3 linked regions of the Sus scrofa genome follow. The protein of the gene in region 1 purifies or fractionates together with the protein of each later gene. This does not show direct contact. Links are inferred from orthologs where the notes say so. Each region holds a gene or a part of one and is shown in the gene's direction. Other genes may lie near its edges. The genes, in order: TONSL, ASF1A and MCM6.

Evidence for each region.
Region 2: the proteins of TONSL (region 1) and ASF1A purify together in Homo sapiens (affinity purification with mass spectrometry; 4 studies listed by BioGRID and IntAct, counting the BioPlex papers as one, with this or other methods). This does not show direct contact. The link is inferred for Sus scrofa from reciprocal best matches to the Homo sapiens genes TONSL and ASF1A.
Region 3: the proteins of TONSL (region 1) and MCM6 purify together in Homo sapiens (affinity purification with mass spectrometry; 3 studies listed by BioGRID and IntAct, with this or other methods). This does not show direct contact. The link is inferred for Sus scrofa from reciprocal best matches to the Homo sapiens genes TONSL and MCM6.

Annotation. Positions count from the first base shown.
Region 1 is NC_010446.5:349,016-352,765, forward strand, and holds the start of TONSL (tonsoku-like protein), read left to right. Parts: upstream 1-976; 5' UTR 977-1,058; coding exon 1,059-1,083; intron 1,084-1,183; coding exon 1,184-1,279; intron 1,280-1,467; coding exon 1,468-1,610; intron 1,611-2,125; coding exon 2,126-2,309; intron 2,310-2,586; coding exon 2,587-2,716; intron 2,717-3,045; coding exon 3,046-3,217; intron 3,218-3,332; coding exon 3,333-3,447; intron 3,448-3,750. UniProt on the Homo sapiens protein: Component of the MMS22L-TONSL complex, a complex that promotes homologous recombination-mediated repair of double-strand breaks (DSBs) at stalled or collapsed replication forks.
Region 2 is NC_010443.5:43,204,971-43,208,620, reverse strand, and holds part of ASF1A (histone chaperone ASF1A), read left to right. Parts: intron 1-343; coding exon 344-459; intron 460-3,650. UniProt on the Homo sapiens protein: Histone chaperone that facilitates histone deposition and histone exchange and removal during nucleosome assembly and disassembly.
Region 3 is NC_010457.5:15,951,030-15,954,679, forward strand, and holds part of MCM6 (DNA replication licensing factor MCM6), read left to right. Parts: intron 1-94; coding exon 95-223; intron 224-1,811; coding exon 1,812-1,973; intron 1,974-3,650. UniProt on the Homo sapiens protein: Acts as a component of the MCM2-7 complex (MCM complex) which is the replicative helicase essential for 'once per cell cycle' DNA replication initiation and elongation in eukaryotic cells.

The DNA of each region.
Region 1 (3,750 bases):
GAGCCACAGAGGAGGGCCACCTGTGGCCGACTTCTCACTTCCTGTGGCTCCTCCTTCTCTGGACCTGGCACCCATCCAACCTCCCTATTACTCCCTCAACAGCAGGCCTTGCTGCCCTTCCACTGGCAGAGAGTTTTACCCCACTGGGTTTGTTTCCATATCCACAGAAAATAAAACTGCCCATTGCCCACTTCTTCCAGGCCTCCTCTGGGGCCTTCGGGGTGCCCAGGGCCCCGTGGCAGGCCAGGGACTGAGAGCCCCAAGGTCTGGCAGGTCTTTGATTCTCAAGGTGTGGGGGAAAGGACAGGACAGGCATTCGAGTTCTGAGGCCAGGTGCCCCACGACCACAGGGGCCCCCGTGTCCTCCTGCGCTGAGAAGTCGGCTAGAGCGCTGTGGGCTTCGTTCCTGCTCCTTTTTCCCTCTCAGCACAAAACAGGTTTGCAGGCTGTACTCCCGAGTTTTCCAGGAAAACAACTGGCTGGCGTGCACATCGAGGAAGCAGCATTTTGCTCAGTTCATTTTGGAAAACAGTCCCCTTCCCTCCCCACCCCCGACCCCGGCCCTGGAGGTAGGAGCCCCACACGTGACGACTGTGGCGCGCTCGAGGCTCTTCCACGGGTTCTGTGACAGGGACACCTCTGATTACGCCAAGTACTCAAGTGCTTGCGGTCCCAGACTCCGTCCTCTTCTCCCACGCGAGGGCAGTGCGCTCCGCAGATCAAGCCGCACGGGCAGGTAAGTTTGCGGGCTGGCAGGACAGTGGCAGCAGGGGTGGGAGCCCCGGAGTTCCCACCTCGAGGGCAGCTGCGGGCTGAGGGGCGGTGCCAGGAATCTGGGGAGGCGCCCTCCATCTCGCCCCGCCCCGCGCCCCCCTTCCGGGCCAGGCGCCAGCACGACTACAGCTCCCAGGATGCCTCGGACGACTGGACTACACTTCCCAGGATGCTCCGCGGGCCGCAGGCCCGACTGGGCCTGCGCGCGGCGCCCCAGTGGGAGGGACCGCCGCCAAGGCGCGAGAACGCGGGAAGTCTGGAGCCCCTGGCGCCGCTGCCGGAATATGAGTCTAGACCGCGAGCTTCGCCGTGAGTTCCCTGCCGAGCGCCCGAGCGCAGGGGCCGGGAGCGGGCCTGGCTCTCCCGGGCAGGGGGGCTCCGCATCCAGGCCTCGTCCTTCTTTTTGCAGAGCTGAGCAAGGCCAAGGCTAAGGCGCAGAGGAGCGGGCAGCTGCGGGAGGAGGCTAATCTCTGTCACCAGCTAGGGGAGCTCCTGGCCAGCCATGGTGCGTGGGGTGGAGTCCGGGACTGAGAGGGGGGCGTCGGGAGGACCGGGGGGCCAGGGGCCGGAGGTGGGGAGGCGGCAGGGCGGGGGCCTGCTCAGTGTGCCGCCCAGGGCCGGTCGCTGCCCCACTGGCCCTCGCGGCCCGTGGCCCCCTGTCCGGCCAGACTGGAACGTGCCCCGCCCGCCCAGGCCGATACGCCGAAGCCTTGCGAGAGCACCAGCAAGAGCTGCAGCTCCTGGAGACCGCCGGCGACCCCCTGGGCTGCGCGGTGGCCCACCGCAAGATTGGGGAGCGGCTGGCGGAGATGGAGAACTTCACCGAGGCCCTGCAGGTGAGTGGAGGCCGCGTCTCCTGGGCCCGCGTTGCCCGAGGGTCCGTTTCTGAGGAGGGAGTACAGCCTCCACCGTCCAGGCCCCTGGGGAGAGGGGGACACGCTACCATTGGGCATCACCTTCAGAGAACCCTGTGCCAGGCGACGGCAGCCTGGTCTTTGGATGGGTACACCACAGCCGGGCCGCAGAAAGCCCTCGTGAACATATTTCTGGAGCTGAGTTTGTGGGCTGGTTGGAATCCTGACTTTTTCTACACAGAGCTGCCTAGTCCCTGGCTTCTGGGGCTGCAGCAGCCCCCCTAACTCCCACTCATCTCCCCGGTGATGACTCTGGCTGGTTGGAGCGGGGTGCTACCGTCCCCACAGGCAGCCCTTGGCAAAGAGATAACGGGTGTGTGTGGCATACTCTGGGGGCTTGGGGAGTGGAGAGCTCTTCTAGGCGTCCCCCTGGAGTTGGGGAAGGCGTGGGTTGCTTGAGGTGGGGCTTGGCTCACAGGGGTCATTCTGTGCCCCAGCACCAGCACCACTACCTGGACCTGGCACGTTCCCTGTCCAACCACACTGAACAACAGAGGGCCTGGGCCACCATTGGCCGCACTCACTTGGACATCTATGACCACCAGCAGACAGAGGACGCCTTGCTGCAGGCGCAGGCGGCCTTCGAGAAAAGCTTGGCTATCGTGGATGAGAAGCTTCAGGGTGACTGCCCTTGGGACCTGGCTCTCCCCACCTTCTACCTCCCGAACTCCGCGGGGAGAGGAGGCTTCAGCCCCAGCGCCTGCCTGCCCTGTGTGGCAGGACCCCCCTGAGGGGACGCCTGGCCTGTGCTCCTCCCCGCCTGGGGTCTGGCTGCCTCTGCTCTTTGTCCCTCCACACTGCAGCAGAGCCCCTGGTGCCTACGAGAGGCTGGATAGGGCCTAAGGCTGGCGAGCCCCAGCGGGCCGAGGTGCTGAGTGTCTGGAGGCATGTCTTCCAGGGACACTGGCCAAGCGGGAGCTGAGTGAGATGAGAACCCGACTCTACCTCAACCTGGGCCTCACCTTCGAGAGCCTGCGGCAGGCCGCCCTGTGCAGCGCCTACTTGAAGAAGAGCATCTTTCTTGCTGAGTAAGGCCTCACTTGACCCCTAGAGGGAGCCGAGCGCCCCGTTCCTGGAGGAAGCAGCTGCTGCCCCCTAGGCTGCTCCCAGACCCTGCTGTGAGGGGTGAGGAGCGAGGGGCAAGGGGCTGGGCTGACCTCACACCTCTGCCCCTGGCAGTTTCCTATTAGCATAGAAGCCTGGCACGTCTGTGCCTCAGGCTGGGGCCAGAGCAGGCTCTGCTTCGTGGGGGCTGGGATCCCAAATGGCATCAGAGGTTGCACATCGGCACTTCCGGTGCCCACCCTGCTGTCCCAAAGCCAAGTGCCTCAGCACGAGGGCCTGTCCCCACCCACAGGCAGAACCACCTCTACGAGGACCTCTTTCGCGCCCGCTACAACCTGGGAGCCATCCACTGGCGTCAGGGGCAGCACTCCGATGCCATGCGCTGCCTGGAGGGGGCCCGGGAGTGCGCACGCCTCCTGAAGCAGGGCTTCATGGAGAGCGAGTGCTGCGTGCTCATCTCGCAGGTGCCAGTGGTTCCCGGCAGCTCCGGGCCCAGCTCCCGGGGTGGGGTGGGGGGGGTGGGGGTGGGTGGCCGGCCTTCGGAAGCCTGCGAGCCTCCCTCCCCTTCCCCCCCCCCAGGTCCTCCAAGACCTTGGGGATTTTTTGGCTGCCAAGAGAGCCTTGAAGAAGGCCTATAGGCTTGGCTCCCAGAAGCCTTTGCAGAAGGCAGTGGTCTGCCGGACCCTCAAGTATGGTGAGCCTAAAGGGGACCCTGGGGGCTGAACCCCTCAAAGGGGGTAGGAAGTTCCCCTCCTCCTTCAGCAGAGGAGGCCTGGGCGTGTGTCTTTTGGGAGGTGACAACAGCCACATGGGGCCCCCCCACCTCGTTGGGAGGAGCTTCTCAGGGTGTCGGGGTGGGGGCGATGAGGTGGGAGTGCGGGCAGTCCGTGTGGCCTCAGGGCCTGGTAGGGGGCAGTCAGCGGGGTCCCCATGCTGCCAGTCCTTCTCTGCCCTAAGCGGTCCTTAATCAGCCTTCCCAGTCCTTGTGGTGACCTCT
Region 2 (3,650 bases), on another chromosome or scaffold:
ATGTTACCAATGGTCTTTACTGAAGGGTTTCTCAGACCACTTGCTCTGCCATTGTGCTTGATGAATCCTCAAGAGAAGGTGGCAGCATTTCCCAAATTTTTGGTCATTGTTGTTTTGTTCCTGAGGAGCCCAGACCAGGGACCAGTGTTTCATAAAACAGCATTCTGAGAAACTCTGGTATGAAATGTAAGCATTTTATAAGGAGCACTTCAGTGTCTTTCGATTTTCTGCTATGAGAAGCCAATTTTAACAGCTGATGTATGGTTAAGTGGACATTCAAAGGGTCTTTGATGTCATCTTGTAATTACTGAATATGAAATAATGTTTTGGTTTTTAACCCTAGACCTGGAATGGAAAATTATCTATGTGGGTTCTGCAGAAAGTGAAGAATACGATCAAGTTTTAGACTCTGTTTTAGTGGGCCCTGTTCCTGCAGGAAGGCATATGTTTGTATTTCAGGTAAGATTATTCTTGGTAAATATGTAAGTTAAAATACATTTCTAAATGGTCCTTAACCCTCTCCTTTTGGGTTAAATCACTGGCTCTGCTGCATTCACTTTTTATCTGCTTCTGTCATTGTTTTAAGAAGTCTCTAGGTCATAAGGAATGCCACCTCCTTATTTTGTGTGCCGAGAGATGTTATTGTCATGTTTACTTCAGGGTTTGCACAGCATGCAGTAAACCTTACACTGTGTCATGGCACACATGATGGTTAATTTCGGGCTCTTCCTGGGAATATCTACCTTGAGGGTGGCTGTCCAGCGGCCCCAAACAGGGATTCCAAATGCTTACTACTAACTAGTATAGGTAGTAATTTACACTTTCAAATTATAGTATCAGTCACTAGGAATAATAACAAAACAACAGTTTATTACAGCATAATCAGTAGTTCAGTTAGGTTAACAGGTATGTTAGAAGAGAGAGATCTACGAGATCATGGGTCATTGGAACTAAATGAAGTCCAGTGGTCTACTAAAGCATCAAATCTACACCTCTTATAGAGAATTCCTGTTACAAATACACAACTCTGTCATTCATGAGGAGAAATTCTACTAATACAATTGTGTTCTCAGATGCCACTGATAGTATTTAGGTCTGTGCCAAGGCTTCAGACATTGTCTTCTGTATTCAAAAATATTACTTCTTTTAATCCATGGCAAATTGTTGTATAAAACTATTCCGTCACTTCTCCATTATCCCTGTTTATTAGGAGATATTTATAATAGTCCAAAGAGTAACTAGCCATAGCTTTTTAAAAAACTTAATTTTGTTACAAGTATTTCTACCCAACAGAGTTCTATCGGTTAAAGTAGAGCTCACTGAGAAGACTCACAGAAAGAAAATCTAACTTTTCTATCCTTGACCTCTCACTTTTCTCACTTCACAGGTGAGATCTGTTTAAATGAATACTGTTGATCACATAATCCCACCAGCTATGGGCTAAGAATCACTCAAATATATGGTATCATTACAGCTGCTGCCCCTCCCTCCCATCTCCTCAATATAGAATTCAGAACCTTGGTCTCCCATCCTTAGTGCTTTTTATTAAATCTAAATAAATGATTAAGAAAAGCTTAAACATTACTAAAAGGCTCCAATATATTAACTAAAAGCATAGTTAGCCTGAGTTGTGAGAGTGAATAATCTTGGTGAAGGACGGGTTATCAGAGGATGCCTGTTGGGTGGGGGGAAGCACTGCAGTCGTAGACCTGAGTCACATCTCACTCTGCTGCTTGTTAGCCATGTGTGACTTTAGACAGGCTCCAACCTCCCTTGTTCTCTCCACTCATTTATAAAATGTGAATAGCATCCTACCTCATAACAGTGTTCGGAGGATTAAAAGAGGAACCCGGCAGATAAGTATAATCACTGATAGACAGTGCCCTATTTCGATAATTAGAACCAAGGTTTTTTTAAATTCTTTTAGCTGCTGCTGCTTCTTTTTTTTTTTTTTTTTTTTGGTCTTTTTTGTCTTTTTGTCCTTTTAGGGCCACACCCGTGGCATATGGAGGTTCCCAGGCTAGGGGTCTAACTGGAGCTACAGTTGCCGGCCTACGCCAGAGCCACAGCAATGCCAGATCCAAGCTGCGTCTGCAACCTGCACCACAGCTCACAGCAACACCAGATCCCTAACCCACTGAGCAAGGCCAGGGATTGAACGTGCAACCTCAAATTTCCTAGTTGGATTCATTCCATGACAGGAACTCCCTTTTAGCGTCCTGAAATTGTTATATAAAGAAGTAGTATTTGCTTTGACCCACAAGCCTGGAGAACCTGTAATTCACAGGTAGTAATTCATGATGTAAGAAACTTAATTGGGGATGTAGTGATATACCTTTTGATGCTGCTAGAAGTGTTGCAAATAAATGCCATGTTTTTGAAAAAGCCCTTAAAGAATCTCTTCTATGTGTTTAAGGATACTCCTCAGCTTTTGCCTTGGAGTGTTGTAGGAAAAATATTATTCAAAATTATTTCCCTCTGGTGATTTTCCAGTGATTTTTTTTACCTTGGTATCTGTGCAGATGTTGCCAAAAGTACAGAGGAAGTTGTGTGTGATTTAGATCATATGTTCAGCTTATGCATTTTTTAAAATTCACCATTATCAGCAGAAAGGGACTAAAATAGTTTTTGTTTCATGTTTTTAAACAAACTACCATAGTATTCTCCTATTCTTCCATGACTTTAACTCTCAGGATGAACATGCGTTTCTCCTGAGTGTGTAAAGAGGCTAGCAGGAAGGTGCCTGGACATCTAACTAGTATTGCTTGTTGGAGTGAAAAATCTCTGCTTATCACTTCTCCATCCTAAATGATCTGAGACGTCTGCAAATTCTCTCCTTGAATTTGCTCAAGCTGCATCCTTTAGCAAACAAATTTTAAAACACAAACAAGCCTCGGACGAGTTTGTTGAGCAGATGGGAAGCAATATGGGGGGAAAGTTCCCACCGTACTGAACTAACTCTATTTCCCATCTCTACCCAAAGACAGATAGCATATTCTCAGGACAGGCCCTCTGTCCCCATTCTGGTATCTCTCCAGAGGTCATAAACCATGTCAGGGTAGGAACTGAGTTCTGAATGAATTTCAGAATACAAATACTCTGTCCCTAGAGCTATGCCAGACTTGTGATTACAAAGATGAACTGGATAGGACTCCTGCCCAGGATAAAGCCTAGAATCTCAGAGAAGATTGAAGGGTAACATATTTAGATTGTTAGACATACATTAGTAGAGAATTTGTGTCAAGTAATATGAGTGCATAAAGAGTGCTATTAATTATACCTTTGAATTAGAAAGGGTTTTGCCGAGAGGCATATATTTGATGAAAGCTTCAGAAGATGAATTTTTCAGAATGTTAGGAAAGGACCTTTCAGGCCAAGGGAACAGTATATGCTAGACAGGAAAGACTATCACTACATTTTAAAGAACCTACATTTCTAGAAGAAGAGATGTGGCGTAAAAGGGGTGTGGTATTGGTTGGAGACCAGTTGTAAAGGGCCTTAGAAGCGTTAAAGAAGTGAAATTTTTATCTCAGAATCTGAGGTTTTAAAACCTGGTGAAGGGATAGGAATGGATCTGGGTTTAGATGGCTGCTGTATAAATTGGCTAGAGCTGGGGGAGAGCAGTAGGGAAGCTTTGGTAATATTCCAGA
Region 3 (3,650 bases), on another chromosome or scaffold:
AGTTTGTTAGCCATAAATAATTTCTTAATGCCTGAGATAGCCTGAAGTGTTTATTGTTATAACTAATCAAAGTGATTTTCTGATTTCGAATTAGGTCACAGATTATGCCATTGCCAGGCGAATAGTAGACTTGCATTCAAGAATTGAGGATTCAATTGATCGTGTCTATTCCCTTGATGATATCAGGAGGTATCTTCTTTTTGCAAGACAGTTTAAACCCAAGGTAACCTGCCTTTTTGAATTGTAATCAGGCATTATGAGTATGTGAAAGTTACATTTAAACAAAAGCATCACCTGGAAATTAACTGAACTTGACTTGTTCGGGTGTTTTTTTTAAAGTTATTTGTTTTTTTTCGTTTGATCTTGAGGGCTTTTTTTTGAGAACAGTTTTCTTCAGTGAGAGCTGAGAAAAGGGAATTTTTTAAAAGTGAAAAATTAACATTTCTTTTACTTGTTAGATGCCAGTAAAAAGATTTTTGTAAGTGAATGAACATGAATAACTATCTTACAGTAATTGATGTAGTTTATTGGATTCTGTGCTGGATCCAGAGTATTGAGTTGGACATTTGTTTCTGAAATAAACCTCTATAATGCCTTTTTTTTTTTTTTTTTTTAAGCATTTTGCTAAAGTAGAATCAAAAACTTTGATTCTCATTGAGGTTTTTACACTATTTCTGGCTTGACTTTTGGGAGTTATCCTTAGATTTTAATTCTCCAGCTCCTTCGCTTGGTTATCTAAAATAATCAGGATTGACTCTCATGTCCCAAGAGAAGCATCACTTTAATTTGCAGAGGCATTTGTTCTCCATCACTGTATGCTGGTCCTTCTGTTACCTTGGTCTGCTTCCTTAACATGCTTACTTCCTAGCTCTGAAAAACTTAGGATTCTTTAGTATGCCTCACTTTGTTATTCAGTAGATACTAAGCTTTATCAAAATATCTGGTGTGTATATATATATATAGCAGTTCCCTCATATCCACAGGGGATATATTTCAAGACCCTTAGTGGATGCCTTTGACCACAGATAGTACCAAATCCTATATATACTATTTTTTTCTTACACATACATGCCTGTGATAAAGCTTAATTTATAAATTAGGCACAATAAGAGAGTAACTGAATAGCTAACATCACTATTCTTGCACTTTGGGGCTTTTATTAAGTAAAATAAGGGTTACTTGAGCACAAACCCTTTGTTACTGTAACAGTTGATCTGGTAACCAAGATGGGTACTAAGTGACTAATAGGCAAGTAGTATATACAGCATGGATATACTGGAAAAAGAGATGATTCACACCCTGGGTGGGACATTGGGTGACATAAGATTTCACTATACTACTCAGAACAGTGCACAATTTAAAACATATAAATTGTTTATTTCTGGGATTTTCTATGTAATCTTTTCAAACTGCAGTTGATCATGAGTAACAGAAAATGGAGCTACAGATAAAGTGGGACTACTATTAATTATTGACTCCTCTTTTTCCCAAAAACTGCATAAGTTAATTAGCTGCTCAAGAATAGCCTGAATGGTAGCTTCTTTAATGAGCTTTGGCATCTTAGGTATACATGTCCTTTAGAAATGGTCATTTGCTTAAATACTAACTCTGCTGTCTCCCTGTTCATAAAATTAGTATATGGAATTCACAGTCCTAAGTATCAGTTTCTTTTAAAAGACATTTCAGTATTAATTCCTTGTCATTGGTTTCAAAGCTTTGACCCTCTCAGTTCCCCCAGAATATCTCCACCTGGGAAGCTCTTAAACTTATGTTTAAGTAAAAATGCTGACTTCATTGATGTTCTGACACAGATTTCTAAAGAGTCAGAGGACTTCATAGTGGAACAGTATAAACGCCTTCGCCAGAGGGATGGTTCTGGAGTAACCAAGTCTTCATGGAGGATTACAGTGCGACAGCTCGAGAGCATGATCCGTCTTTCTGAAGCAATGGCTCGGATGCACTGCTGTGATGAGGTATCAAAATCACTTCAACATAATAGAGAAATCATTTGTTGACTTATGTAAGCCAGCTTTGGTGTAGGACATACTAGCATTAGCTGCAGATTTTTTTTTTCCTTTTATTTATTTTTTTTATTTTATTTATTTATTTTTGTCTTTTGTTGTTGTTGTTGCTATTTCTTGGGCCGCTCCCGCGGCATATGGAGGTTCCCAGGCTAGGGGTTGAATCGGAGCTGTAGCCACCGGCCTACGCCAGAGCCACAGCAACGCAGGATCCGAGCCGCGTCTGCAACCTACACCACAGCTCACGGCAACGCCGGATCGTTAACCCACTGAGCAAGGGCAGGGACCGAACCTGCAACGTCATGGTTCCTAGTCGGATTCGTTAACCACTGCGCCACGATGGGAACTCCCAGATTTTTTTTTTTAATGTGACTGTTGATTGCTCATATGATACGTGACTGTGGGATTTTTCCCTTGTAGAAGGTTGCTGTCAAGCATTTAATGAATTTAATAGTTAGATTAATAGTAATGAAATGATCATAATGTAGATTATAGATAAATATATAGTAGTGAGTTCAAGATTAATGCCATTCGTTTGAGAGAAACTTGTTTAAACCCTACAACGCGCCAGGCCTCTGGACTGGGGATACAGGTAGAATGACGTAGCCCACATTCTCCTAAGGAGAGTTGTCTTCCTTAGGTTTGTATAATGTGTGGATATTAAATTGTTCTTCGAGCCCTGGGTTGTACAGTGGATATTTAGAGGAGTAAACAGGGAGCAGAGTGGAAGAACATTCATGCCCTCATTTCTGCTTCGAGCAAACCAGCTTACTTTTATCTAGCTTTATATTTTTGACAGTGTTAGATTTTGTTTGAGGAAAGAGTTTGGCTATTTTTCTTAATAGTACGATTGATGTATAATTCACATAGAGGAAAATGTACAGGTTTGACTTTTTACATACACCCTTGGGGCCACCCAACTCAGAATATAGAACATTTACATCATTCTAGAAAGTTTGCACCCTTCCCCAGAAGTAACCACCGTTCTGACTTCATTAACCATTTCTATTCCATAGGTTTTATTTTTTGGCTTTTTTTTCCTTTTTGTTTAATTTTTCTTTCTTTTTTTTTTTTGTTTATTTTTTCTAATTCTCTGATAATGGTGCTTTACTAATTATAAAATACTTTCGCCCTATGTGACTTATTATCAAGTCAAGAGTCAAAGATTATCTTTCGATTCTTCTGACATTTAATGGACATTTAATGAATAAACGAGCTCCTGTCTTCCATTACTGATAATTTGGTGAGAGCAAGACATGTTTAATTAGGCATATTAAATATGAGTGGGAGACTGAGCTATTACCAGCAAAGAGTACAGAGATTAGTGAATTTTTTCCCAAAGAAGGAGTATCTGGGGAGATACCACATTCAAACATGATCACTGAAAAGTATATAGAATTTTTTTTTTTAATTTTTAGAGCCATACCTGTGGCATATAGGAGGTTCCCAGGCTAGGGGTCCAGTCAGATCTATAGCTGCCAACCACAGCCATAGCCACTACCATGGTGGCATCAGATCTGAGCTGTGTCTACGGCCTATACCACAGCTCATGGCAACCTCTGATCCTTAACCCACTGAGTGGGGCCAGGGATCGAACCTGCAACCTCATGGTTCCTAGTCGGATTCTTT